7 linked regions of the Rattus norvegicus genome follow. The protein of the gene in region 1 interacts with the protein of each later gene in a pairwise test. Links are inferred from orthologs where the notes say so. Each region holds a gene or a part of one and is shown in the gene's direction. Other genes may lie near its edges.

Region 1 (3,500 bases):
TCTAACCCTAACCCTGACCCTGAGCCCTGATGGGTCTGACGGGAGAGGTGGGTGTCATAAATGCTTCTGGTTGGTTTGAGCACAGAGGCTGGCTGCCACTTGTTGAGACAAAGAACACGCACAAGGAAACACAGTGACGGATTGTTGTGTGAGGTCCCCTGGTTTATCCAAGACCTCTAGACAGGAACCTGGAGCTGTCACTAAATCCCGATGCAGGTCCCCAGAACCTTGACAACAAAAGCACAGTAGAGACAGGACCAGAAGGTGGCAGCACAGGCTTGATGTTGTATAGAACTCTGCTCTCTGGTGGCCACAACCTGCAGAACTTACTCTGTGGATTTTGTTCAGAAAAAACCAAACCAAAACAAAACAAAACAAAAAAAACAAAAAAAAAAACAAAAAAAAAACAATGTTTCAAGATTCTGTGTGTTTGTTGTTGTTGTTTGGTTATTTGGTTGTTTGGTTTTGAGTCTTTTGAGGCAGATTCCTAACATGTAGCCAAGGCTGCCTAGAACTTGAGGGGATCTTCTCTATCTTTGCCTACCAGGTTCTTTCTCCGTTTACAGGTAGTTCCACCAACTCACCACCCTCCTTTCTTTTCCCCTCCCTCCCTCCCTCCCTTCCTCCCCCCCTCTCTCCCTCCCTCCCTTCTTTCCTTCCTTCCTTCCTTCGTTTCTATGCTTGGAATAGAACCCAGGGTACCACACATGACAGGCAAGCATTTTGCCATGATTTTATAATTATAATAATGACTTTAATATTCTGATTCCAGTAAGGGTCAGTCGTGTGACTACATATTTCACATTTACCTCTCAAGGGACTGAAAGGGGAAACATAACTTCTAGTTGTGCCTTTTGCAGTTTCCTGAGTCAGAAAGTGAGACCTGCTGCTGCAGTGCTCACACAGTGCACCTGTTTGTCTGGTAGGGGTGGGGGCAACTCCCTCAGAGCTACATCTGTGCTCCCTCAGCCTGTCCTTCAGGGCTGGAGTCTGGTGGTGGGCAGCACAGGGCCGGGCCCAGGACTAGAGGGGCTCCCATGAGTCCCTGAGCACTCAGTCTTCCCCAGGGGCTCTTGCTCTATGCTGATCAAAAATGAGACAAAGGTACCTGACCCCAGTAATAAAGAAATTAGGCTTTTTGGTTCACTGGTAGCTGGAGAATCCAAACACTTTTATCAGCCAGTGACCCCATAGAGGGCCTCATCATGTCAGAAATGAAAAGGAAGTGTGTAGAAGGGAATGTATGCTATCCTGACAGCAATGCTAACTGAACTGCAAGAATTATACCAGCCATTCCTCAGAGAGAGGCTTCTTTTTTTTTCTTTTTCTTTTTCTTTTTCTTTTTTTCGGAGCTGGGGACCGAACCCAGGGCCTTGCGTTTGCTAGGCAAGCGCTCTACCGCTGAGCTAAATCCCCAACCCCCAGAGAGAGGCTTCTTAAAGTGGTTTCATTTATGACCCCATTTTGCCTGAGAATTTTTGTTGTTGTTTCTTTGGTTGGTTGGTTTGTTTTGTTTGTTTTTCAAGACAGGATTTCTCTGTGTAGCCCTGGCTGTCCTGGAACTTACTCTGTAAATCAGGCTGGCCTTGAACTCAGAGATCCGCCTGCATCTGCCTCCTTAGTGCTTAGATTGACGGTATATATTGATATAGATACATAGATCTTGAAGAATGTTATAGGAAAATATAGTTAAACAGTTTTGTATGTAGAACAGAAAACTTTGTGTGTACAGATGTTGTAATTCATTATGAGCAGTGGTCTCACACCTGAGCTGAGATGTTTGCAGCGGCTGCTCTCCTCTCTTGACTCTTATTCCAGGAACTGCTGCAAGAATTTGAATCTGAAGCTCAGAGAAGGGAGCATGAGTTCCAACTGAGAGCTGATGACTTGAGCAACACTGTCTTGACCCACGAGCTCAAGGTAACTGGCTGGGCAGGGTTTTTGAAGTGTTTCCAGTTTTCAAGTTCACTGTTGCCAGCTTTAATTACCCTGTACTACAGAACACCATGCTGTTCTTTAGTTAGTTAGTTAGGTTTTTTTTTTTTTTGTTTTTTTTTTTTTTGAGACAGGGTTTCTCTGTGTAGTCCTGTCTATCCTGGAGCTAGATCTGTAGACCAGGCTGGCCTCGAACTCAGAGATCTGCCTCGAACTCAGAGATCTGCCTGCCTCTGCCAAGTGCTGGGACCACACCAGGTTTTGCACTGTTCCTTTTTGTTTGTTTGTTTGTTTGTTTGTTTAATATTGGGAGATGCTTTTCTCTCTTTATTTTGCACATATCTGGTATCCGGTACTGGGGGTTGAACTCGAGACCTTGTGCATGCTAGACAAGTGCTCTGCCACTGAGTCCTAACCAGCTCAGCTAGAAGCCATACTGTTCCTTTTACCCATTTACTCTCCTGGAACTTTTCAATCTCCCTCAGGTAAAGCTGCTAAACAAAGAGCTTCAGGCTTTAAAAGAAGCTGGAGCACAGGCAACAGAGAGTCTGCAGAAGGCAGAATCAGAGCACATTGAATTAGAGAGGAAGCTACAGGATCATGCCCGGGAGCTACAGGATCTGGAGGCCATGAAGGATGCTCGGTGCGTGGGTTCTGCTCTCAAGGCATTGTGGCCATAAGGACTAGACCCTGGTGGCGCTGCCTTCCTGGCTTCTTCCAGTTCTATTCTTTGGTCTCTTATGTAACTGCTCTTCTTTACTGACACAGTTTCTGTTTAGGATAAAGGACTTGGAGAAGAAGCTTCACTCTGTACAGCTGGCCAAGAAGAAAGCTGAGGAGACTTTCAGGAGGAAGTGCGTATTTCTGCCTGGGTAGTGCCTCTGGAAAAGAGTCTGGATCATACTCTCTGGAGACAAGAGCCCTGTGACGGGGTAGCCTGAGCTGGGATACCACTTTGGTTAACTCCATGCTCTACTTCCTTAGAAAGGGTTAGGCATCCAGTGTCTCAAAGCTTAAAATGTTTGAAGGGCCAAGACTCCAGTCCAGTTCATTGATAAAACACAAACTAAAAATGTCTAAAACTCTGGATTTAGTCTACAGTGTCTAAAACAGGCTTTAAAATATAACCTTAGTTAAATTTTAACTTTTATGGGTAAATGAGATGGCTCTGTGGATAAAATCACTTGTCAACATGGTGGGTGACCTGAGTTCCATCCCTGGAACCCACGTGGTAAAAGGAGAGAACTGGCTCCATACACACACCCCACACTAGATAAATACATATTTTAAAATTTAGCATTAACATTTAAAACTTGAATGTTCTACTCACTAGTTTATAAGTTGTAGACTATTAGCCCCAAGCTTTGCCATGCTGACACAGTCACCTGGTTGGCCACACCCCTTACTCTCAGATGCAGACTCTCTTGAGTTCTCTTTTTCCTGTTGATATACCCTGTACTCAGTGTGGGTTGGGACCCAGCCAACAGGAACAGGCACAACACCCAGGAAATAAATAGTATGTTGGCTCAAGGCGGAACTTCAGCAATGCAATTAAAGCGTTGTTC
Region 2 (4,270 bases), on another chromosome or scaffold:
GTACCACAGAGGTTCTAATGTAGATACCCTTCCCACATCCTGGTCCCTGGGTAGCAATGGATAGGCCCTTCCTGTTGCCCAGGAGACAGTCAAGTACTGTGCCTGCCTCCAGGTGTGAGAATTGCCTCCTGCGCTTCCGCACTCATCGCTCGCTCTTCAAGCATCTGCATGTTTGTATAGACCATGGTCAGAACCCAGCCCCGCCACCACCCCCTGCCCTGGACAAAGAGCCACCTGTACCTGAGCGTCCCCCAGAGTCCGACCCTTCGTCCTCCCTGGGCCTGCCATTCCCACTACTTGAGCCTTTCACCTCTGCCCCCACTGGGCCCTTCCTTCCTTACTTGAACCCTGCACCCTTTGGCCTGAGTCCCCCGAGACTGCGCCCATTCCTGGCTGCCACTCCAGGGCCACCGACATCCAGCACTGCCATCTGGAAGAAGAGTCAAGGTGAGTATAGGAGCAGGTTGCCTACAAAGCTGATTGAGCCTACTTTTATTCTGAACTTGAACTGCTTCTTTCCTACAGGTGCTACCAGTAGTCCTAGAAGACCTCAGGGCGGCTCCGATGCGCCCTCAGGTGCGTGCAGGTGACCACCAGGGACGGGTGGAGGGGCCCTTCATTCCTGTGCCCTAAGTGGGCCCTGTGAATGCTGGAAAGCAGCGGTGACTGTCCCTTAAAATACATGATTTTTGCCTTTCAAATGACTGGTATCTATGCCTTCATCTGGTATCTGTGCCAGTGTTCCTGTGTAAACATTTGTGTCTTGTTCTGTCTCTGAGTGGTTTTCTTCTATGGTGGGTCCAGGGATGGGAGGCAAATGTGGTACCTGCTGTGATGGGTAGTCAAGCCCAGGGAAAAGTCTAATCTGTCCTGGTTGACATCTACCATCCATGGTTGAAAGGCTCTCTGGAGGGAGACCCAGGACTCAGAGGCCTGCCTGCCTGCCTGCCTGCCTGCCTGCCTGCCTGCCTGCCTGCCTGTCTGCCTGCCTGCAGGGTACATGGCCCCCAGCCACATTGTGTGCGAACACATAGATGGCTGATATTCGTGTATACAGTGTGACTTCTTCACAGTCTCTCAGTCTGCCATTATACTGCACCTGCAGGACCACCACCCTGGCTACCCCACAGCCTGAAACCTGGGTTCCTTGGTTCCAACACCCAGTTGGGTAAGGCTGAGGAATGTTCAGGCACAGGACTAGAGGCAAGGGATGAGGCACAGGCTCAGGTGACCCCTCCTCAACTCTACACAAGACCCAACCCTGTTTGCTATTGAGGTGTCACAGTGGTCAGAGGGGGAGAATCCAGTTTTATCACAGCTTTGAACCAGCTCTGCTGGGCTAAGTTGTAGGGGATACAGAGATTTTTGTAATTTGAGGAAGAAGGGGACAATAAAGGAGGCACGTTGAGCCAGTGTGTGCTGTGTCTTGGGTCCCTTGCCCCTCAGATTTTTTTTTTAATGTCTTTATTTTATTTTATTTTATTTTTTTGGTTCTTTTTTTCGGAGCTGGGGACCGAACCCAGGGCCTTGTGCTTCCTAGGCAAGCGCTCTACCACTGAGCTAAATCCCCAACCCCAAAAAGTTGTATTTATTTATTCTATATAAGTACACTGTAGCTGTCTTCAGACACACCAGAAGAGGGGAAGAGGGCATCAGATCCCATTACAGATGGTTGTGAGCCACCATGTGGTTGCTGGGAATTGAACTCAAGACCTCTGGAAGAGCAGTCAGTGCTCTTAACCGCTGAGCCATCTCTCCAGCCCATGTCTTTATTTTTTTAAGAGAGAGTGCAAGTGATATGTGTACAGAAGTGTAATGCTTGTGAAGGCCAAAAGAGGGTATAGGATCCCTAAGCATTTGTGAGCTGCCAGCGTGGGTGCTGGGAACCACACTTGCATCTTCTGTAAGAGCAATATGAGAGTGAACTTTCTGTTAGTGTCACAGTTAATCTTTTTTTTTTTTCATTTATTTCAGAGTTAACGCTTATCTGCTGAGCCCTCTTCTACAGCCCCCCCCCCCCCCCAAATAAGCACTAGGCTGCTACCTATGGGACTAGGGTGCTCACACACCTTGGGAGGGGGACTTAAAATTGGCTTCACAGAATCTGACTCTCATCAGAACTCCTATTTTCCTGGCATCTCAGCTGTGGAATCCAGATCTGCAGCTCACTGCCCACCCTAGGAGTAGTCAGTGCCCACTGTTCTGTTCTACAACTTCCAGAACCAGATAGGTTTGTTATTTTCCCAGATGGTTTTCCTTTATTAAAAACCCAGGCATAGTGACACATGCCTTTAATCCCAGCACTTGGGAGGCAGAGGTAAGTGGATCTGAGTTCATAGGCAGCCTGTTCTACAGAGCTAGTTCTAGGACAGTCAGGGCTACACAGAGAAACCCTGTCTTGAAAAATAACAAAAAAGAAATATGGGGGTTGGGGATTTAGCTCAGTGGTAGAGCACTTGCCTAGCAAGCGCAAGGCCCTGGGTTCAGTCCCCAGCTCCGGAAAAAAAAAAAAAAAAGAAATATGGCTTACCATGCTCAAGTGCTTGCCCATGCAACCCTGATGGCCTGTTTGAGTGGGGTAGAAAAAAAAGAAAATCAAGTAGCCAAAATTGTCCTTTCATATATTAAGCCCTGAGCTTAAAGCATGGTGGCACACATCTTTAATCCCAGCACTTGGCAGGCAGAGTCAGGCAGATCTCTGTAAATTCAAGGCCTGATCTAAGTGACAAGGTCCAGGCAGGACACATAGTGAACAATGTCTCAAAAAAATGAGGGGGAAAAAAGCCCCATGGTATGGTAGCACATGGCACATCCAAGCTCTTGGAAAACAGAGAAGGATCATTCTTTTTAAGTTCATACCAACTTAGACTACAAAGCAACACTGTCTCAAGAAATTTTGTTTTTAAGTATCAAGAATTAGGAAGGCAATGTGGAAATCTAGGTCTGAGTAAACCCTGCTCCTGAGGCCAGTGGGTTCACAGAGATGAAAGCCTTGGGTAGCTATAGTTGAGTTGGGTAGGTCAAGATGGAGAACTGAACTTTATCAGCATCTTCCTTGCAATCAGCAGACCTTCTGTTGCTGCTGGCATCTACCCCAACCTGTATTCTGGAGAGTTCGGGGTCCATTTGAAAATGCACTATGGATGGGGATGTAGCTCAGTATAGTACTTGCCTAGCATGCACAAAGCCTTGGGTTCTTTCTATCAACACCACATAACTAGGCTTGCTAATAAGTGCTTAAGTTCCAGAACTAGGAGGAGGTGGGTGTTAGCACTCTCTAAGTTCCACCCCTACAGTTAACCTGGCAACAGCCAGGCATGCCTGACACTATGAAAAGGGCTGCTTGCCCCTTCCTCTCTTCCTCATGCTCTCTTGTTCTTACCCCTCCCCCTTCTCTCCACGTGCTCATGGCCGTCCTCTACTCTTCCTCTACTCTTCTATTTCTCTACTTCTCTCTCTGCCCTACTACCCTCTTAATTTCCCTCCCCATGCTGGCTGGTCCCTCAGAGGGAAGGGATGTCTCAGCATGGGCCTGCTGAGGCACCCCCTTCCCCCAGACCCCCCCTAGAACATAATCCCCACCCTCTCCTTTATCTTTTATAAAACACATTGGTAGGGCTGGAGAGATGGCTTAGAGGTTAAGAGCACTGTCTGCTCTTCCAGAGGTCCTGAGTTCAATTCCCAGCAACCACATGGTGGCTCACAACCACCTATAATCAGGTCTGGTGCCCTCTTCTGGCCTGTAGTTGCATACATGCAGGCAGAAAGCTGTATGATGTATACATTAAAAAAAAAAAAAAAAAAAAAAAAAAAAAAAAAAAAACATTGGTGCTGAAACCCAGGACATATCCTTATCTTTTAATAAACACATCAGTGGGAGTGTGGACTCTGGAGGATTGGGGGTTCAAGGTCATCCTGGCTAGATATGGTATATGTCTATACCCACCACTAATCCCCCTGTCATATATATCCACAAAGAAAACATGGTGCCTTACTTCTGTTCCAGTCCAAAGCCAGGCTGGCCATGCCTCTTGGAAATAGAAGTCCAGTGTGTTGTTCTTCCATTACTTAGAGGTTGGTTCTAACCTCTGTCTAGCTAGGGTAATCCCCTCCTATCCCAAAGAGCCTTTCACTAGTGCTCCTTAGTATCCCTCATAAGTCTCTGGATAAAGACTCCTTGGGCTGGAGAGATGGTGTAGTAGGTACAAACAGGATCTGAGTTTAGATTCCCAGTACCTATTTTAACACGATACGGTAGTACATGTCTGTA
Region 3 (4,185 bases), about 31 Mb from region 1:
TCTACTTAAAGAAAAATGCCCGGGACGTGTTTGGGAGGGGGAATAGCAAGTGAGACATGCTATCCAAAAAGCACAGATCGCTTTCCAAAATGCCCCTGATTTCAGAGTAGAACTGTAGACACACCCTTTTAAAAAAAATAGCTAGAAGAAAAGCTGGCCAGCTTCCCGAATTTCACTGAACTCAACTGGGCTGGGTGATGACGGCGATCTTCATGTGGTGATTGGACAGAGAGGAGCCTGAGGGACCGGCATCTTCCTAGATGCTGGAAACTAGCCAGCTCAACCACACCAAGCAAAAGCAGAACGAAAGTGGGAGGGAGGGAGAATAATCAAACACACGTGAGGGCAATTCTTCCCCAAATGCAAAGCGCAAGTGTGTTTCCCAAAAGAGAAAATGCCAGCAGAGGCAGTGTGGAAACATCCCAGCCTTTGGCTCCTACAGATGGGAACTGCACCAGTGACCTCTTTGTCCTGGTATTGGACATCTCCTTCCTTCGGTCCACTGCGGTCCCTCTAAGCAACTGTACCTTATTGCTAAGGAAGAGGAGATGTTTTTTAAGTAAAGAGGAATTTTCTCCCTCACGGTGTTATTTGTGAGTTTCTTGGTGGCCTCAGTTCTTCCGAGATGTGACGGTGCAGTGTGTTAGCAACCCCATGCCATCTGGCATCCTCATATGAGGACCATTGGAGAACCAGTTTACATGACTTCATGATGACAGGCCACCCAACCTTATCTTTTATTATCCATCGATTTTTCTTTTATCACTTGAATGTCCTGATGACATATCTGCAGGGGATCCCACTCCCCCTTCCAAATCATTGGAGAACCAGTTTACATGACTTCATGATGACAGGCCACCCAACCTTATCTCTTATTATCCATCGATTTTTCTTTTATCACTTGAATGTCCTGATGACATATCTGCAGGGGATCCCACTCCCCCTTCCAAACCCATGCACATCCCTCCGCCACCCCTACCCACACTCCCCCTCCACCGGTAATGTAGAAGACCAAAGAGGAGTTCTTTTCTGCAGCTTCACATTACAAAGGAGTGATATCAAAAAGAGGTTAGAGAAAAACCTTAAAAAAGAATGCTTGCCTAAGAATTTAAAACTAAGAAAACAAAGCAGGAGAGATTCTGAATGACCTTTTAAATAATTGGATTACTAGGGATTCACTCCTGTAATTACAGTGGATGGTGTGAGCACGGAAAAAAAAAGAGTAAAATACAACAGCATGTAAGGAATTTCCTCTCACCAAATTGTCTCCGGTCCCTTAATGGTCTGTAAGTCTTGCTGAGTACTTTGTGTACGGTCCCTAGCGTGCTGATTTGCATCCCACTCTCGGCCTTGCTGTTGGCCGGCGCTCGCAGCTGTCTCAGTCCGCTTCTGGCTGAGAAAGGTAAGGTTCGGTTTCCTTGCTCTTTGAAAGATCTGGGAGAGACTTGTCGAATGCTTGCCGGCGGGGTTCGCCCTGGGAGGACTGTTACCATTCATGCACTCGGAAGCCTTCAGAAAAGTTTTCCAAACTTGAGCCTTCACAAGCCCTGCACTCTAAAAAGAACCAGGGAGATTTCCTCCTTCTTCTGCACAGAGAGCTTGCAGAAAAAAAAAAAAAAAAAAAAAAAAAAGACTGGATGCATTGTGATGAAAATTTGCACGTGGGGCCAGGTGTCCAGTAAGCGATTCCCCAGGGAGCTTTATACCAGATAGGCACTGTCTGGGCGGAAGACTGGACATTCAAAGGCATTTTGCATGCGTTGCTGTGAAATTCCTTTTTATTTCTTTTTTTCTTAAGAGATAAGGTTGGTTAAAGATGCTTGTGTCCTTGATGCTTCTTCTACCTCTTCTGGCATGCTTTCTGATTAATCCCTGAGTTTTCCATTTCTTTAAATTTACCGGTTCCAACCAGGAGTCGTCTGATTTTGGAGACTGGCATCTTCATACCTAGGCAGATGCCTTCACATTGTGCTGGGACAGTGGCATGGGACACCACACCTGAAACCAGGAGAAGGCTGAATCGTCAGTGTTAGGAGTAGCAACAAACCTGTGGCCTTCCACCCTGGGGACACAATTCTGTTCACTGTCTCTCCTTACTGCTTCAGCCCCTGGGGTGGGGTGGGGTGGTTCGCTGTGGGCAAGGATGCCTCTCTCCCCTCTGTAGGTTCATTTCCTTACCTTTGGCTTAGGAAGCAAGGGGAAAATGGTCTTCGGTAGGATAAGGTGATGTTCAGAGCTTCCTGGTTGCTATTGGAGATTTGTTTGATTTGCAGAAAATGGCCTTCAGTAGGAATTAGGAAGGACTTGCCCCAAAGGCGAGAGTTCTCAAGTGGGAAGACGTTCTCTTTGAGGGCTTCTTCTTGATGTAGCCTAGACCCCAGGTCACCCTCTTCTGAAATGCCATGGTTCCAAAGATGCCCAGACTCACCTCCAGTGATGTCACTAGCTATATGTGAGACTCCATTTCTCTAAGACTCACGTTGGAAGCCGTGAGGATGATGGCATTCTGGGTTTCCAAGTGGCCTGCAAGTGGCCTCCTCCTATACCCAGCATGTTGGACCTCTAACTCAGACAGGTCTCGGGGATTTCTCGGTGTGATCAACTGGAACGAAGGAACACTTGCTCTGGCTCACATAGGAGGAAAAGGACTCCTGGTCTCTCTGCGTCACCTTGGGGAGGGCTGAGCTGGGAGGGTGAGAGGTCCAGGAGGTAAGCCAGTGGCTAAAGAAAGCTAGCATCCCTCAGACGGAAAGACAATGCTATTCTGTCATTGACTCGAATGAGTGAACTATAGCGGGATTTAGTAAGACTTGCACAGAGGAAAGGAATCATGGGATAGCCTTTAGACACAGGGACAAGCTCATCACAGTGCCCTTATTTTGCCACCGACATTTTCCACCCCAGGCTTTACGCTTTTTAAATACTTACAGTTTCAAGTGGCTTTACTCTAAGAAAGCATGAGCCTGTCGGGTCATCGATGATGCCTTGAGTTTATTCTTCGAAAGAATACTGTGCCGTGTGTGTGTGTGTGTGTGTGTGTGTGTGTGTGTGTGTGTGTGTGAGTGTGTTGGACTATTTAAGATGTGTTGTTGGTTAAAGTGGAACCAAAAACAGCAGACTTGGCATAGGTGGGCTTACCACGAAGCTACTTATTCAGACTCTTCATTTAATAAGCTCAGTGGGTGAGAATCAGTGGGTGAGCTTGCACCATTTCGTGACTGAGGTCCAGTGGGCCTGGTGGTGAAGTCTGTGACTGTAGCTACTGAAGAAACTGAGGCATAGGGATTCATGGGTCAAGGCAGAGAGTGGACTGGGAATATAGCAGAATGATAAAGTACTTACTTAGTACATACGAGACCCTGGGATCCATCTCCAGTATGGGGAAAAATGTGACTGGGGTCTGAAGCAAGAGTTTCTTTGTGAACTTAAGTCATATTCATTTACCTCTGCATGTCCCCATAACTTCACTTACAAATGAATGAGAATTAATACTAACATGTGTCAGTCTTTAATGTCATACCACACCCATAGTAGGGGCTTTGTCCAGAGAGGCAGTGTTGCTGGTGACGGTGGTGGTGATTCCAGGTTTGCCAAAGCCATTCATCCCCCAGCACCTTAAGCAGTAAGCAGTCCTGCTTAAATCAAGTTAACCAGGACTTCCCAGCATAACCAGGAATGTAGTATTTCCCGTCCTCCTCTTCTGTAAATGAAGGAACATGAGGGGAGGGGCCGGCTCACACATACATGAGTGGAAAACTGTCAGAGTCTGAGGCTCTGGTTCTTTGCTGACCTAGAGGCTGGGCTCAGCAGCTTGAGAACTCCACAGCTGTTCCTGTCTCTGAGGAGCTTCTGTTCCCCGGTTCTGTCAGTCAGCTAGGTCTGCAGTGCTGACTCTGGGATTCTCTTATGAATATGCCTGATGGGCAAGCCAGAGGAAGATCTAGAAACACCGAGTAATTCAGAGCAGCCTGCTTAGTAAATGGTGGGAAGAAAAGCCGACGCTGGCTCCTCTCTCTGGGGACTGTGAAGTGATGATCCGGAATTACCATGTCCCTGAACAGAGCTGGAGCAAGCCAAAACTCTGAATCTGCTGGCAGTGAAAAGAAAAAGAAAGAAAGAAGAAAGAAAGGAAAAAAGACAGGGAGAGGCATGCTAGAGGAAGAGGGAGTCAATTGAGAGGGGAGG
Region 4 (3,500 bases), on another chromosome or scaffold:
CAGTATGGGAAGCCCACCGTGTTCGGTTCCAACAGGCTTCGTTTCTTTTGCTCAGTTGAGTGACTTAGACCAATCATTGAGTTTATATCTGCTCTCTAGGTCACATTTTTTAACCTGTAAAACAGGGTCAGTCATTCTTCCTGTGCAGAATTGTCGTCAAGCCTCCGTGAAATGATTTCTGACTGTGATTCCATTCATCTCTCTGTCTAGCCGTCTGTCCACTCATCCTTCCACCTATCTGTCTTTCTATCCATTAATCCCGTCACCATGAACTGGGCCTCTGTGCTAGCCTTGTCTGCAATATAGCAAGTGCCCAATTTAGAAAAATAAATGTGTAAATGAAGGAGTGTTCCCTATCTCCTGGGAGATCGCATTTACTAAGGTTGTAAAGCAGACATAGTCTTTGGTGGTAGATGCTATGCTAGGGAGATGTGAACTGAAGGGCTCAGAGGAGCTCTGGGCCCAGCCAGAGGGAGGGTAGAGCAATGCTAGATCAGAGTTGTACTTGGTGCACTGGGGTCTCTTACATGGGAGAGGGAGGTGAGAGTGGGTGATCCAGGCCAAGGAAAAGACATGGGAAGGGGGAGAGGATAGCTATAGGTGGGTCCACCCAGAAAGAAGGAGGTAACATGAAGCTGGAGGAAGCAAACTGGGACTGGAAAGGGACCACCACCATAGTGTTCAGAAGACCCTTTGGGCTCTGTGCGGAGGAAGGTGGATTGGAAGGGAAAAGGCTGGAAATGGGACACCATTGGCAGGAGAAGGGGCCTGGATGAAGGCTGAGCCCTCTGGGAAAGAAGCATGCAGATTTTTTTTAGCCAGTTGATGAGTCAACAGGCTGGGCTCCAGAATGACTTTCTCTCTGTGTCTTTTAGATCCAGGACACAAATGACATCAACGACATCACATACGCAGACCTGAATCTGCCCAAAGAGAAGAAGCCCGCCCCCCGGGTCCCCGAGCCCAACAACCACACAGAATATGCAAGCATTGAGACAGGCAAACTGCCTAGGCCAGAGGATACCCTCACCTATGCTGACCTGGACATGGTCCACCTCAACCGGGCACAGCCAACCCCCAAGCCTGAGCCATCCTTCTCAGAGTATGCCAGTGTCCAAGTCCAGAGGAAGTGAATGGGGCTGTGGTTGGCTCTAGGCCCCATCCCCACAAGTTTTCTTGTCCTACATGGAGTGGCCATGATGAGGACAACCAGCCAGCCAGCCCTGTCTCCAGAAGGCCAGGTGGCACAGGTCCTAGGACCAGGGGTAAGGGTGGCTTCTGTCTTCCCTCCGTGGCTCTCCAACACCTCTTGGACACCCATGTCCCCTTCTTCTGGAGCTGGGTGTTGCAGAACCAGAGGGGGAACTGGAGAAAGCTGCCTAGAATCCAAGAAGCGTTGTGCCTCAGCCCATCACACTGGGTCTGGATCCTGGTCTTGGCAACCCCCAGGTTGCTTCCTTGATGCTCCAGCGCCTGGTCTTCTGTGTGGAGAAGAGTTCACCATCTCCATCCAACTTGAGCTTCGGGGCCAGACTCCCTTTAGATCAGACCGCCCCATGTGTGGAAGAACTACACCAGGAGTCAACAAGTTTTCAGCCAACAGTGCTAGCCTCCCCACCTCCCAGGCTGACGAGCCCTGAGGAGAAGGAACCCTCTTCCCCTAGACCAGCAGAGACTCCCTGGGCATGTTCAGTGTGGCCCCACCCTTCCAGTCCCAGCTCGCTTCCTCCAGCTAGCACTAACTCAACAGCATTGCTCTGTGGACGCCTGTAAATTATTGAGAAATGTGAACTGTGCAGTCTTGAAGCTAAGGTGTTAGAAAATTTGATTTGTGCTGTTTAGTTGTTGTTGGGTTTCTTTTCTTTTCTTTTTTTTTCTTCCTTTTTCTTTCTTCTTTTTTTCTTTTCCCCCTTAAAACAACAGCAGCAGCATCTTGGCTCTTTGTCATGTGTTGAATGGTTGGGTCTTGTGAAGTCTGAGGTCTAACAGTTTATTGTCCCGGAAGGATTTTCTTATAGCAGAAACAGATTTTTTTTCCAATTCCCAGCACCCTGAGGACCAAGAAGGATCCCTCTGTTGTCATTTTCAGCACTCAGCGTCACTGGGATGAGCCAGGCTCTGTCCCCACAGCTGGCCCTTGGCCTCCATGGCTACTGTGGTAAGTGCAGCCTTGTCTAATCCAGTGCTGACGTTGGCCATTCCTCATTGAGGAGAGAAGGTCAGTGACAAACTCACAAGCACTGCAGAGGCATACGGAGAGAAGGGACGCTCGGCCAGCACCCGGTATTCCAGCGCTCTGAGGTAATCAGTGCAAGGAGTCTGTTATTACCATCAGACCTCAGCAGGATCATACTGGAACAGAACCTGATCATACCTGTGACAACACAGCTGTGAGCCAGGGCAAACCACCCCACTGTCCCAGAGTCTGGGCAGAGGCTCTGACCCCCACCCTTCAAACTGGATGTCGGGGCCTGGCTGGGCCCAATGGCAAGCAGATGTTGCAACCCTAGCTATCTGGTCTTAACATGCAGCTCAGTAAGTTGAGGCGCTAATGTCCCCCCATGCCGGGGGATTCCTGGTTCCGGCTCTTCAAGTAAGAAGCTGATTCAACCTGCCTGTTTCTGTAGGTGTGACAGGGATGTCAGGAAAACAGCCAGGACTCATCTCTATAGGGCTGGTGACCTGATACTTCCCATAAAGGCATCCAGGAGTTAGCTGACCCAATAGTCAGAGTTGACCTCACTGGCCTAGCAAACCGTAACTTGTCTTTGGCCCAGCCATGGTCTTGGGCTGTCTTCTAATTCCAAAGGGTTGGTAGGTAAAGATCCATCCTCTTCCCCTCTGCCAAGAGACATCACGTGTGTACACACACACATGCGCGCGCGCACACACACACACACACACACACACACACACACACACACGGGTGTATAGGTGAGTTAAAAGGATGTCCTCGCTGACATCCTAATTTTGTCTTAAGTTTTTTTGGAGGGAGAAAGGAAAGAGGCAGGGAAGATACGTAGCTCTAGCTTTAGTCAGGCAGCCTGGGGGGATCCCCAAGCCTATGTATGGAACCCTGGTACGAAAGCGCCCTGTGAGGAGTGGGATTTCAGTTTTATCTGTAGACCAGATGAGAAGGAGAAAGGCCCCATTTTGTACATAGTTGCAACTTAAAATTTTTGGCTTGCAAAATATTTTTGTAATAAAGATTTCTGGGTAACAATGATGCCTTGGGGTGTTTCATTTTGTCTCTGAAGCTTTGTCCTTGGAGTCTGCCAGTTGCCTGTCCTCTGGGGCTGGGGGTGAGGAGGGAGTGTGCCAGGGCTTCAGAAAGTTCTGTATCACTTGGTCCTCTCTAGTTTTTACAGAGGCGGAGGTTCTGTTCCCTTGGCTCAGAGGGAGTCATGGCTGCATCGGTCGTGCTGAAAATTCAGACACAGACTCTCTCCACTGCCTCAGTGTCGTGGGGATCTAGACAATTCACCCAGCACTGGCTACCT
Region 5 (3,500 bases), on another chromosome or scaffold:
GAGATGGTTCAGGGGTTAAGAGCACGAGTGAAGGGGTTGGGGATTTAGCTCAGTGGTAGAGCGCTTGCCTAGCCCGCAAGGCCCTGGGTTCAGTCCCCAGCTCCGAAAAAACAAAAAACCAAAAAAAACCCAAAAAACACAAGTGAGTGTTCTTCCAGAGGTCCTGAGTTCAATTCCCAGCAATCATATGGTGGCTCATAACCATCTATAAAGGGCTCCTGTATTTATATAAATAAAATAAATGTATCTTTAAAAAAATTATTTATTTTATGTAGCTGTCTTCAGACACAGCAGAAGAGGGCATCAGATCTCATTACAGATGGTTGTGAGCCACCATGTGGTTGCTGGGAATTGAACTCAGGACCTCTGGAAGAGCAGTCAATGCTCTTAATCACTGAGCCATCTCTCCAGCCCCTCCCTCAGACTTTTATATAAAAACATTATTACTATTATTATTTATTTTGGTTTCAAGACAGAGTTTCTCTTTATAGCCCTGGCTGTCCTGGAACTCACTGTGTAGGCTAGGCTGGCCTTGAACTTAGAGATCTGCCTCAGCCTCCTGAGTTCGGAGGTTAAAGGTGTGCCACCACCACTCAGCTAAAATTTTTATTTTTATGTGTCCAGGTGTTTCACCTGCATATGTGTGTGTGTACCAGTGCATGTCTGGGACTTTTAGAGGGCAGCGATCTCAGATCCTCTAACCTGAGTTACAAAAGGTTTTGAGCTGCCATGTATGTGGCTGCTGGGAATGTAACCCACGTCTTCTGGGTTTATACTTAGGAACTTATTTGTACTGTGTAAATGATCCCCTTTACAATAGAATAAAAGCTAACTAAAGAACATACTAGACCTGCTTGGTAGTGGTGGTGCACACCTTTAACCTTAGTACTCAGGAGGCAGAGGCAGGTGGATCTCTGTGTGTTCCAGGCCAGCCTGGTCTGCAGAGTGAGTTCCAGGACAGACAACCAGGGTTGCACAGAGAACCCTGTCTCTAAAACCAAAAAGAACATACTAGGCCTGAAGACCATACTAGGCCTGAAGACCATACTAGGCCTGAAGACCATACTAGGCCTGAAGACCCACTTGGCAGTTCTCTGCCTCCCACCGTAGAGCTGACTCTGGAGTGCTGGCTGCTGCTGCTCATGCTGCTTTCTGTCTGGGGCATATTCAGTGTTTCTCCATGGGTGTAACAGTGTAGCTTTGTTCAATGTTACAATGTAGTTATATTGTATGGAAAAACTTTCTCCTTTCCTCTCTGCTTGCTCAAATAAGGTCTTTTAGGGATGGCGTGGTTAAGAAACCTTGTTCTCCAAAGGCACTGCCCCTCAAAAAGTCTTCTGCCTTCTCTGGGATCCAGAGGGAGTTAACTAGAAGCTGCCACTCCTCGTACTATCAATCCTCACAAAGTTGGACTCCACAGAGATTACGAGAACTGCGTGTCAGGTGAGACTTTTCATTTGTTTTCCCTTCAAGCCAAAATGGGATTAAAAAGATAATGTGTGGGCTGGAGAGATGGCTTAGTGATTAAGAGCACTGACTGCTCTTCCAGAGGTCCTGAGTTCAATTCCCAGCAACCACATGGTGGCTCACAACCATCTGTAATGAGATCCGATGCCCTCTTCTGGTGTATCTGAAGACAGCTTCAGTGTACTTACATATAATAAATGAATAAATCTTTAAAAAAAAAAAAAACAAAACAAACCAAAGCAAACATGACCCAGAGTCAGGTGAGATGGCACAGGTCTTTAATCCCAGCACTCAGGAGGCAGAGATTGTTTTCTGTGGAGTGCAGCAGAGAGATGCATGTGAAGCAAAACCTTGAACTCAAAAAGAAAGTGCTTTAAAAAATCTGCATGATTTTATTTTAATTTTGTTTTGTTTTGCTTTTCTTTTTTTTTTTCTTTCATTTTTCTCAGAGCTGCGGACCGAACCCAGGGCCTTGCACTTGCTAGGCAAGCGCTCTACCACTGAGCTAAATCCCCAACCCCTGTTTTGCTTTTCAAGATAGGGTTTCTCTGTGTAGCCCTGGCTGTCCTGGAACCTCTGTAGACCATGCTGACCTTGAATTCATAGATCAGCCTTCCTCTGCCTCCTGAGTGCTGGGACTAAAAGGGTCCATCACCACTGCCCAGCTTGATTTTAGTTTTATAAACCTGTCCTCTCCATTTTCTGTTTAATGCAAGATTAACTATGGCATCATCTTTTCATTCAGACGATGGTTCCTTCGCTCGACACCTTAAAGGTTCCCTTTCTTTTCCAGAAAGCTTATGTTGACAAGGTAGAGTTTAGAATTGTGTGTCCTTTCTTTTCAGGTGTGTGGCCAGAAAGTTCCTATATTTGTGGATGCGAGTGACCTTTGGAAGAGTGACTCCTTCCAGAGCCAGGTACTGCTAGCTTAGATGCTGTGCTGCTGCCGAGCGTCCTCTGCTTTTGTTCTTTTTTTGTTTTGTTTTATTTAAACAGTTTTGGGCTGGAGAGATGAGTCAGTGGTTAAGAGTATTGACTGGGGGCTGGGGATTTAGCTCAGTGGTAGAGCGCTTACCTAGGAAGCGCAAGGCCCTGGGTTCAGTCCCCAGCTCCGAAAAAAAGAACCAAAAAAAAAAAAAAAAAAGAGTATTGACTGCTATTCCAGAGGACATAAGTTCAAATGCCAGCAACCACATGGTGGCTCACAACCATCTGTAATGGGATCTGATGCCTTCTTTTAGTTAAAATATCAGCCCTCATATACCCTTATGCTGGAATGAGAATTTCATGCATATTCCTTATCTTAATGGGGATCTGAAGGAAACCAAAGCCCCACGACCTCTGGAAAAGAAGGAACCCACCCAGGAGAAGCATGGGTGCTCACACGGGACTGCTGAGCCTGACACGTAGCCTTTGTAGAGGTCGGAACCTTGTGGAATCATTGATATTGGAAGGAGTTTCAGTGCAGAGCAAATCCCTGTGCTGCAGGCTATTCCTCATCATACCGTACACATCAACATACGTGTTAGGATACACATCAACATACGTGTTAGGATGTGTAAAGACAGCCACTACCCTCTGCTGTATCTTTTGGTTGCATTAGTTTTAGCTACAGCAGAGAGGAGGGTGCAAGAGGGAGTCACAGGTGTGACTCCATGTATGTCCTGCCACCTCTAAAAGTCAGACCATCCTCAGTGACCAGTGTTTGTGGGGCATTTATCAAAACTGTAGTGCCATCGTTTGTGCCTCCAGGCACCCTTTCTTTCCCAGCTTCTGGGTCACTCTTGTCTGGTGGTTTCTCTCCTGTCTCTTTGCTCCTTCTAATGCCTCCTCCTTGGTTTTTCTTCATTGAACTACCCGACAGCTTTGCACTGCTGACTGTGTACCTCCTAACTGTGGTCCTTTGGTGACTCCCAGTGCATATCCTTAGCCCAAACCTATAGCCCCAACACTTGCTTCACAAATATGACACTTCCATTGGGTACCACACTTAGTAAGTCCAAAATGAAGTTTTTGTTTTTTTATTTGTTCAT
Region 6 (2,281 bases), on another chromosome or scaffold:
TGCCTGCTAGCCTTGAGTGTGGCAAGCACCTTTACCTGCTGAGCCGTCTAAACATCCTCAAACTGATTTCCATAAACAGGAAATCTTTCTCCAGTGCAGCCCACATCTTTGTTTGTCTGTTTCCTATAGTCTCATTCTGCAATCCAGACTGGCCTATAATTTACTCTGTAGCCCAGGTTGTCTTTGAGTTTAGGCAATCTTCCTGCCTCAGCTTCTCAAATGTTAGCCACCAGACCCAGCTTTGGGAGATGTTCTTTTTTTTTGCAATAGTCTTCGTTGGTTCCTCTGTTGTCTTCTAAGCTGTCTGTCTCCACACACAGAGAAGGCATAGGGTACCTGGGAGCGCTGTCCAACGCCTGCTGTAGTGAAGAAAACTGGACTCAGAGCTAAGGCTCTGCAGGCCACACGCTCCATAGCATCCTCAAAGGGCAGTAGCCGGAGATAAGGGAGGTTTACAAATGGAGAGGCTGTGGAAGCAGGAGGTCAAAAGGCAGGAGGACAGGCTCCCTCCTTTGGCTGTGGTCAGAAGGTGGGCAAGCCCTGGATGCACAGCCTAACCTGGGACAGGTGGCTCAATCCTGCAACCTAGGGAAAGTCCCCACCACCTTTTTGGGCCAGCGGTAAAATGGGGCAAATAACCCCCACCCTGGTAATCCCACCCAAGAAATACAGAGCTGGACTGGGAATATACTGGCTTTGTAAGTGTCAGGGGAAACTTTTAAGTTAATAAGCTTCAAGGAAGACCAGGAGGCTCCAGCCTGGGGAGTGTCTATGTTCGGCTGCCCAGAGGCCTGTCTTGTCTCCTTCACAGGCGCAAGGAGCGACAGCGTTTTGCCGAGTACCAAGCAGAGCTCCAGGGCATCCAGCATAGAGTGCAGGCCCGGCCCTTCCTGTTCCAGCAGGCCATGCAGGTGAGGGCACAATACAGGCCCACCACCACCACCAAAGAGCTGCTTCCACAAGTGTGTATCGAAACAAAGGTGGAGTGGGGTCCTATCTGTCCCCCCAGAAGGCCTGGGACCCCTTCTTAATAATCTGAGCCCCACAGTGACCCCGGCAGCCTTGGTGAAGGGTAGGAACCCTTTTTTTCTCCCATCAGACCAATGCCAGGCTCACAGCAAACCGGCGCTTCTCCCAGGTGCTGTCAGCATTGGGAGTGGATGAGGAACAGCTGCTGGCTGAGGCAGGCAATGCAGAGGGCATCCCCCGGAAACACAGGTGAGATGGGACAAGGTACCCTTCCAGTTCTCCATGTCACTCAGGAAGGTGAGCCAGGGCTACTGTCCCCACCTTCCAATGAGACCAGAGTAGGACCTTACTTGACACAGGAGTAAGCAGTAAAGCTAGTCCTGGACTCTGAGCAATCACCCTTGCGCCAGCAGCTGGTGTCGTTCTGTCACCTTTCAGGGTGTCCCTTACCCCTTAGGGTAAGTAATCTGGTACAGAGCAGGGACTGTAAGATTCACTTCACAGTAAAACAACCAACCAACCCCCAAACCACTGAGACTGCAGGACGGGGTGTCCCTCTCCAGTGTCACACAGCAACCAAGCATAGGACTTAGATTTAGACCCACAGGGTAGAAGTTTGCACTGGGCATGGAATAGGGTGCTGTGGAGACCATTGGCCTCCATCTGTGTCTTTAAGGAGCTACCGGTCATTTGGAGTAGAAATGGAGTCCTCTCCTCAGAGTCCCCCAAAGACAGAGCCAACCAGCAGCCAGCCTGGAAGACACCCTTCCCCAACCCTGGACTGAGAGAAAAATTAAATGCTTTATGGCCAAGTACAGAGTAAGATTTCTGAGGCGAGCTGGCTGTGGGCTGAGTTGTTTGAGCTGTTTACCCCATACTCTGGAAACCCAGGCTACACCTTATCCTCAGCAAACATGCGGTTTCTGCTTCTGAGGAGTGGGACACCTGAAAGGAATCCGCCGAGACTTTCCCATGTTTTCTCCAACACACGGGGGGGGGGGGGGGGGGTAGACACACACCTAGAAATCTTAGAACAGGACATTGCTTCTGAACAGTCTTGGAGCGGAACTTTAAAGGAGCCCATCCCCCACACCAAAACACACCAGAGATATGCTACACAGGAAGCCCAGAGTAGCAACGACTATCAGAAGTGTCTGAACCCTTACCCTAAAACATCCTCTCCTTAAGACCCAAACCAAACAAGCAATCAAACAGAAACCCTAAAAAAGGCTGGAAAAGCATTGTGGCTTATGCCTGTAATCCCAGCCTGGGCTACATAGTTAATGGGCCAGTCTGAAAGGAAAAAAAAAGA
Region 7 (3,500 bases), on another chromosome or scaffold:
AGGAAAGCAAGTCGAATCATCCTTTGACCCCCTTCAGCAGCCAGGCTCTGCACCTGTTCATGCTCTAGGATGATCGCTCACCTCCATATCCTTACCAGAAAATGTGGAGGGAAGATAGGGCATGGTTGTTTCCTTATGGCCATGATCTGGAAGTTGAAAAATGTCACTTTGGTTCATATTTTGTAGACCTTTGTAGAACAAACTTCCCCCTCCACATAGCATTGGGGACAGCTAGGAAATATATATTTCATGCTGGCATCCATGTCCCCACACATGATTTGGGGTTGGTTACTAAAGTGGTGGAAGTGGGTGTTGGGGATAGCAGCAGAGTCTGCCTCCCCCTCAGTGGACACCTACCCTCCATGTCCCATTTAGACATTATCCATAAGTTCATCCGGGATAAATACTCAAAGAGATTCCCTGAGCTAGAATCCTTGGTGCCCAACGCTCTGGATTACATCCGCACAGTCAAGGTGAGTGGAGAGGAGTCTGGCTTGGGAAGAACTGAGGCCACTAGACCAGGAAGCCTCAAGTCTAGAAATAACGGGGCTCAGTGGTGAGAGACAGATACTGGAATGGATGTGTCATACACATCCCTTGCTTCCCTCCTCCCCTTGGTTTTGTGGGAGGATAACCACTGACCTGGCCCTTACTTCTAGCTGCAGTTGGAGCAGGAGTCCTTTGATCTGGCAGAGGCCACAGCTGAATAAGAGCTAAGACCCTGAGTGGGAACAAGTAAGGATGAAGTCAGAAGGGGCAGGGAGGGAAGCTTAGAAAGGTCAGAGAACATTAGACGTAGAAGGTGTTGGCTTCTCTAGAAGTGATGGGAGCAGGTGGAGGTGAAAGAGCAGGGGTCCTGTCTCTGCCCAAGAGATCAGGATGGTGGCAGAAGAAGTCTTGTCTGTGGAAGAAAGTGCACTTTTGAAGGCCTCTTTAGTGCACATGTCTTCCTTGGAGGCTGCTCTGCCTAGGTTCTACTTCTGCATCAGCAGAGCAGAGTAGGCAGCACTGATGCTTTAGGCAGGGATGTTGTAAAACTGTAAAAGGCACGAGAAGTCTCCAGTATATGGACCTTAGCTTTTCCAACTTCCTCAAGGGGAGACCTGTGTTAGTGTTCCTAGAATTTCTTTTTCCCCTTCCTACCCCAGGAACTGGGCAACAGCCTGGATAAGTGTAAGAACAATGAGAATCTCCAGCAGATCCTGACCAATGCTACCATCATGGTTGTTAGTGTTACTGCCTCTACCACCCAGGGGTATGTATGCCATATGGTAAGGTGCAGCAAGCCTACAATAGGACAATTAACAAAAGAGAGAGAGGCAGAATGGGGGTCATGGTCAAGGTGGTGCTGACTGAGAATTATGACCCCTAGGCGGATGGAATTTTAGATAGTCCTAGAGCTACACAAACACACTTGCATACACAGCTGAGAGGGTGGGTGGGACTGAACACTAGTTAGAACTGTACCTAGCAAAACTGGGGTCTGTTCCCAACCCTTACCTGCCCCACAATGCAGGCAGCAGCTGTCAGATGAGGAACTAGAGCGACTAGAGGAGGCCTGTGACATGGCACTGGAGCTGAATGCCTCCAAGCACCGCATCTATGAGTACGTGGAGTCCCGGATGTCGTTCATTGCACCCAACTTGTCCATCATCATTGGAGCTTCCACGGCTGCCAAGATCATGGGTGAGGTCCCAGCTAGGTCCCTTTGGCTGAGGCTGCTGATAGGTTAGGTTGCCTTGGGGAAGTGGGGTTTGGCCTTAGCGCGATTGTATTGTCCCCTGAAGACTGAGATCAGCCAGCTTGGTATGTACACACGATAGAAGCATAGCAACTCCCTTCTAGGTTTAGCTGGCTGGCTGAATCAGGTTGCACAGATGGCAAGCCAACTTCTTCCTGCCAATAGGCCCATTTTAGACCCTGGAGCAGCCACAGAGTACTGATGTCAGCTCAAGCTTTCCTACTGGATAGGGCAGCAAACCCTGCCATGTGCTATGCTCTTTCTCCTGGAAGCTCCTGTAGCAGAGTCCTTTCCTTCCTTGCAGAGAGATGCTTGCAAAGGGAATATGGGAAAACTTACCATCTTTGCTCACTGAGCTTCAGGCTTGAGTCCCACAGGCCAAGATGCATATACTCCTGAGGCTACTGTTTCAGAGCTGGCAAGTCTGAGACCAAGTTGCTGTGAGACTTCTCCAGAGGCCTCTGCTTGGCTGTGTAGCCACACCACTTGTATCTGTATCCTTATCTCCTTTTCTTACAAGAATGCCAGTCAGATAGAGTCAGGATCCATATGACCTCATTTTACCTTAGTCATTTCCTTAAAGATTCTGTGTCCTGAGCTAGAAAGATGACTCAGCTGGTAAAAGAATTTGCTGCCCAGGCTTGACAACCTGAGAACCTGAGTGTGGTGATTCCCCCAAACCCACATACAAGAGGGGAGAGCTAAGTCCCATAAGTTTCTGATCTCCATGCACACACCCTACTTATACATATAAAATAATAAAAATAAAATCCCCCTCCCCACCAGAAAAGATCCCATGTCCTGCTGGATACAGTGACTTATACTAGTAACTGTTATTTGGAAGGCTGAGGCAGGAGGGTTGCTTTGAATTTGAGGCCAGCCTTGGCTACTGAGTGAAATACTTGATATCAAACCAGCCAACAAATGAAGGTGCAAAGTTGTCTTAGTCACTGTTCTCTTGCTGTGAAGACACAGCTGGGGGCTTACTTACACTTTTAGAATCTTAAGCCGTTATTATCATGGCAGGGAGCACAGCAGCAGGCAGGCATAGTGCTGGAGATATAGATGAACCACAAGCAGAGAGAGAGAGACATTGGACCTGGCGTGGACTTTTGAAACCTCAAAGCCCACCCCCAGTGACACACTTGTTTCAACAAGGCCATGCCTTCTGAACCTTCTAATCTATCAATGAGTTTTACTTTGTGGTGACTGTATGAGCCTATGAGGGACATTCTTACTTAATCCACAAAGGTATACATGAGTTCCTGGATGTAAACCCTGTGTTCTGACCTCACCTCTTTTTGCAGGTGTGGCTGGAGGGCTGACCAACCTGTCTAAGATGCCTGCCTGCAACATCATGCTGTTGGGAGCCCAGCGCAAGACACTGTCTGGCTTCTCTTCTACCTCAGTGCTGCCTCACACTGGCTACATCTACCACAGTGACATTGTGCAGTCTCTGCCCCCAGTGAGTACTTCACCTTGACCCCTAGCCCCAGCCACTAGGCCTTATCTGGCTTGGCTGGCAATAGCCCTCAGGCTCCTGGAGGATGAGGCAACATGGTTGGAAGAGCAAGGATACTATTCTGGGTCTGCCACTTGGCAATGAGGATGGTTGGGTGGCTGGAAACCAGGGGCAGCTAGAGCATACCCCTCAAGAGGCAGTTATTAGGAAAGCGCACAGGCATAAGGCCTACCTCCCAGAGTCTGGGGTATGGCTGGCCCTAGATGAGAAGTGATTATTGTAGTGGCTGTTACCTTT

The links.
Region 2: the proteins of Ccdc57 (region 1) and Pram1 interact in binary tests that used the Homo sapiens proteins (3 or more experiments, as listed by UniProt). The two-hybrid records come from large-scale screens. The link is inferred for Rattus norvegicus from reciprocal best matches to the Homo sapiens genes CCDC57 and PRAM1.
Region 3: the proteins of Ccdc57 (region 1) and Tmem100 interact in binary tests that used the Homo sapiens proteins (3 or more experiments, as listed by UniProt). The two-hybrid records come from large-scale screens. The link is inferred for Rattus norvegicus from reciprocal best matches to the Homo sapiens genes CCDC57 and TMEM100.
Region 4: the proteins of Ccdc57 (region 1) and Sirpa interact in a two-hybrid assay, tested with the Homo sapiens proteins (2 studies listed by BioGRID). The two-hybrid records come from large-scale screens. The link is inferred for Rattus norvegicus from reciprocal best matches to the Homo sapiens genes CCDC57 and SIRPA.
Region 5: the proteins of Ccdc57 (region 1) and Sfi1 interact in a two-hybrid assay, tested with the Homo sapiens proteins (2 studies listed by BioGRID). The two-hybrid records come from large-scale screens. The link is inferred for Rattus norvegicus from reciprocal best matches to the Homo sapiens genes CCDC57 and SFI1.
Region 6: the proteins of Ccdc57 (region 1) and Tsga10ip interact in binary tests that used the Homo sapiens proteins (3 or more experiments, as listed by UniProt). The two-hybrid records come from large-scale screens. The link is inferred for Rattus norvegicus from reciprocal best matches to the Homo sapiens genes CCDC57 and TSGA10IP.
Region 7: the proteins of Ccdc57 (region 1) and Prpf31 interact in binary tests that used the Homo sapiens proteins (3 or more experiments, as listed by UniProt). The two-hybrid records come from large-scale screens. The link is inferred for Rattus norvegicus from reciprocal best matches to the Homo sapiens genes CCDC57 and PRPF31.

The regions. Positions count from the first base shown.
Region 1 is NC_086028.1:106,670,727-106,674,226, reverse strand, and holds part of Ccdc57 (coiled-coil domain-containing protein 57), read left to right. Parts: intron 1-1,818; coding exon 1,819-1,920; intron 1,921-2,420; coding exon 2,421-2,578; intron 2,579-2,714; coding exon 2,715-2,789; intron 2,790-3,500. UniProt on the Homo sapiens protein: Pleiotropic regulator of centriole duplication, mitosis, and ciliogenesis. Critical interface between centrosome and microtubule-mediated cellular processes. Centriole duplication protein required for recruitment of CEP63, CEP152, and PLK4 to the centrosome.
Region 2 is NC_086025.1:15,124,343-15,128,612, forward strand, and holds the start of Pram1 (PML-RARA-regulated adapter molecule 1), read left to right. Parts: upstream 1-1,470; 5' UTR 1,471-4,270. Other genes in the region: Zfp414 (zinc finger protein 414), read left to right, coding at 113-590. UniProt on the Homo sapiens protein: May be involved in myeloid differentiation. May be involved in integrin signaling in neutrophils. Binds to PtdIns(4)P.
Region 3 is NC_086028.1:75,350,506-75,354,690, forward strand, and holds the start of Tmem100 (transmembrane protein 100), read left to right. Parts: upstream 1-1,385; 5' UTR 1,386-1,402; exon of another isoform or gene 1,403-1,414; intron 1,415-1,441; exon of another isoform or gene 1,442-1,805; intron 1,806-4,155; exon of another isoform or gene 4,156-4,185. UniProt on the Homo sapiens protein: Plays a role during embryonic arterial endothelium differentiation and vascular morphogenesis through the ACVRL1 receptor-dependent signaling pathway upon stimulation by bone morphogenetic proteins, such as GDF2/BMP9 and BMP10.
Region 4 is NC_086021.1:137,308,054-137,311,553, forward strand, and holds the end of Sirpa (tyrosine-protein phosphatase non-receptor type substrate 1 precursor), read left to right. Parts: intron 1-875; coding exon 876-1,133; 3' UTR 1,134-3,226; downstream 3,227-3,500. UniProt on the Homo sapiens protein: Immunoglobulin-like cell surface receptor for CD47. Acts as docking protein and induces translocation of PTPN6, PTPN11 and other binding partners from the cytosol to the plasma membrane.
Region 5 is NC_086032.1:82,262,712-82,266,211, reverse strand, and holds part of Sfi1 (protein SFI1 homolog), read left to right. Parts: intron 1-1,272; coding exon 1,273-1,443; intron 1,444-2,312; coding exon 2,313-2,384; intron 2,385-3,500. UniProt on the Homo sapiens protein: Plays a role in the dynamic structure of centrosome-associated contractile fibers via its interaction with CETN2.
Region 6 is NC_086019.1:212,129,421-212,131,701, reverse strand, and holds the end of Tsga10ip (testis-specific protein 10-interacting protein), read left to right. Parts: exon of another isoform or gene 1-359; intron 360-811; coding exon 812-911; intron 912-1,099; coding exon 1,100-1,218; intron 1,219-1,645; coding exon 1,646-1,754; 3' UTR 1,755-1,781; downstream 1,782-2,281.
Region 7 is NC_086019.1:74,496,423-74,499,922, reverse strand, and holds part of Prpf31 (U4/U6 small nuclear ribonucleoprotein Prp31), read left to right. Parts: intron 1-375; coding exon 376-473; intron 474-1,148; coding exon 1,149-1,255; intron 1,256-1,516; coding exon 1,517-1,686; intron 1,687-3,048; coding exon 3,049-3,206; intron 3,207-3,500. UniProt on the Homo sapiens protein: Involved in pre-mRNA splicing as component of the spliceosome. Required for the assembly of the U4/U5/U6 tri-snRNP complex, one of the building blocks of the spliceosome.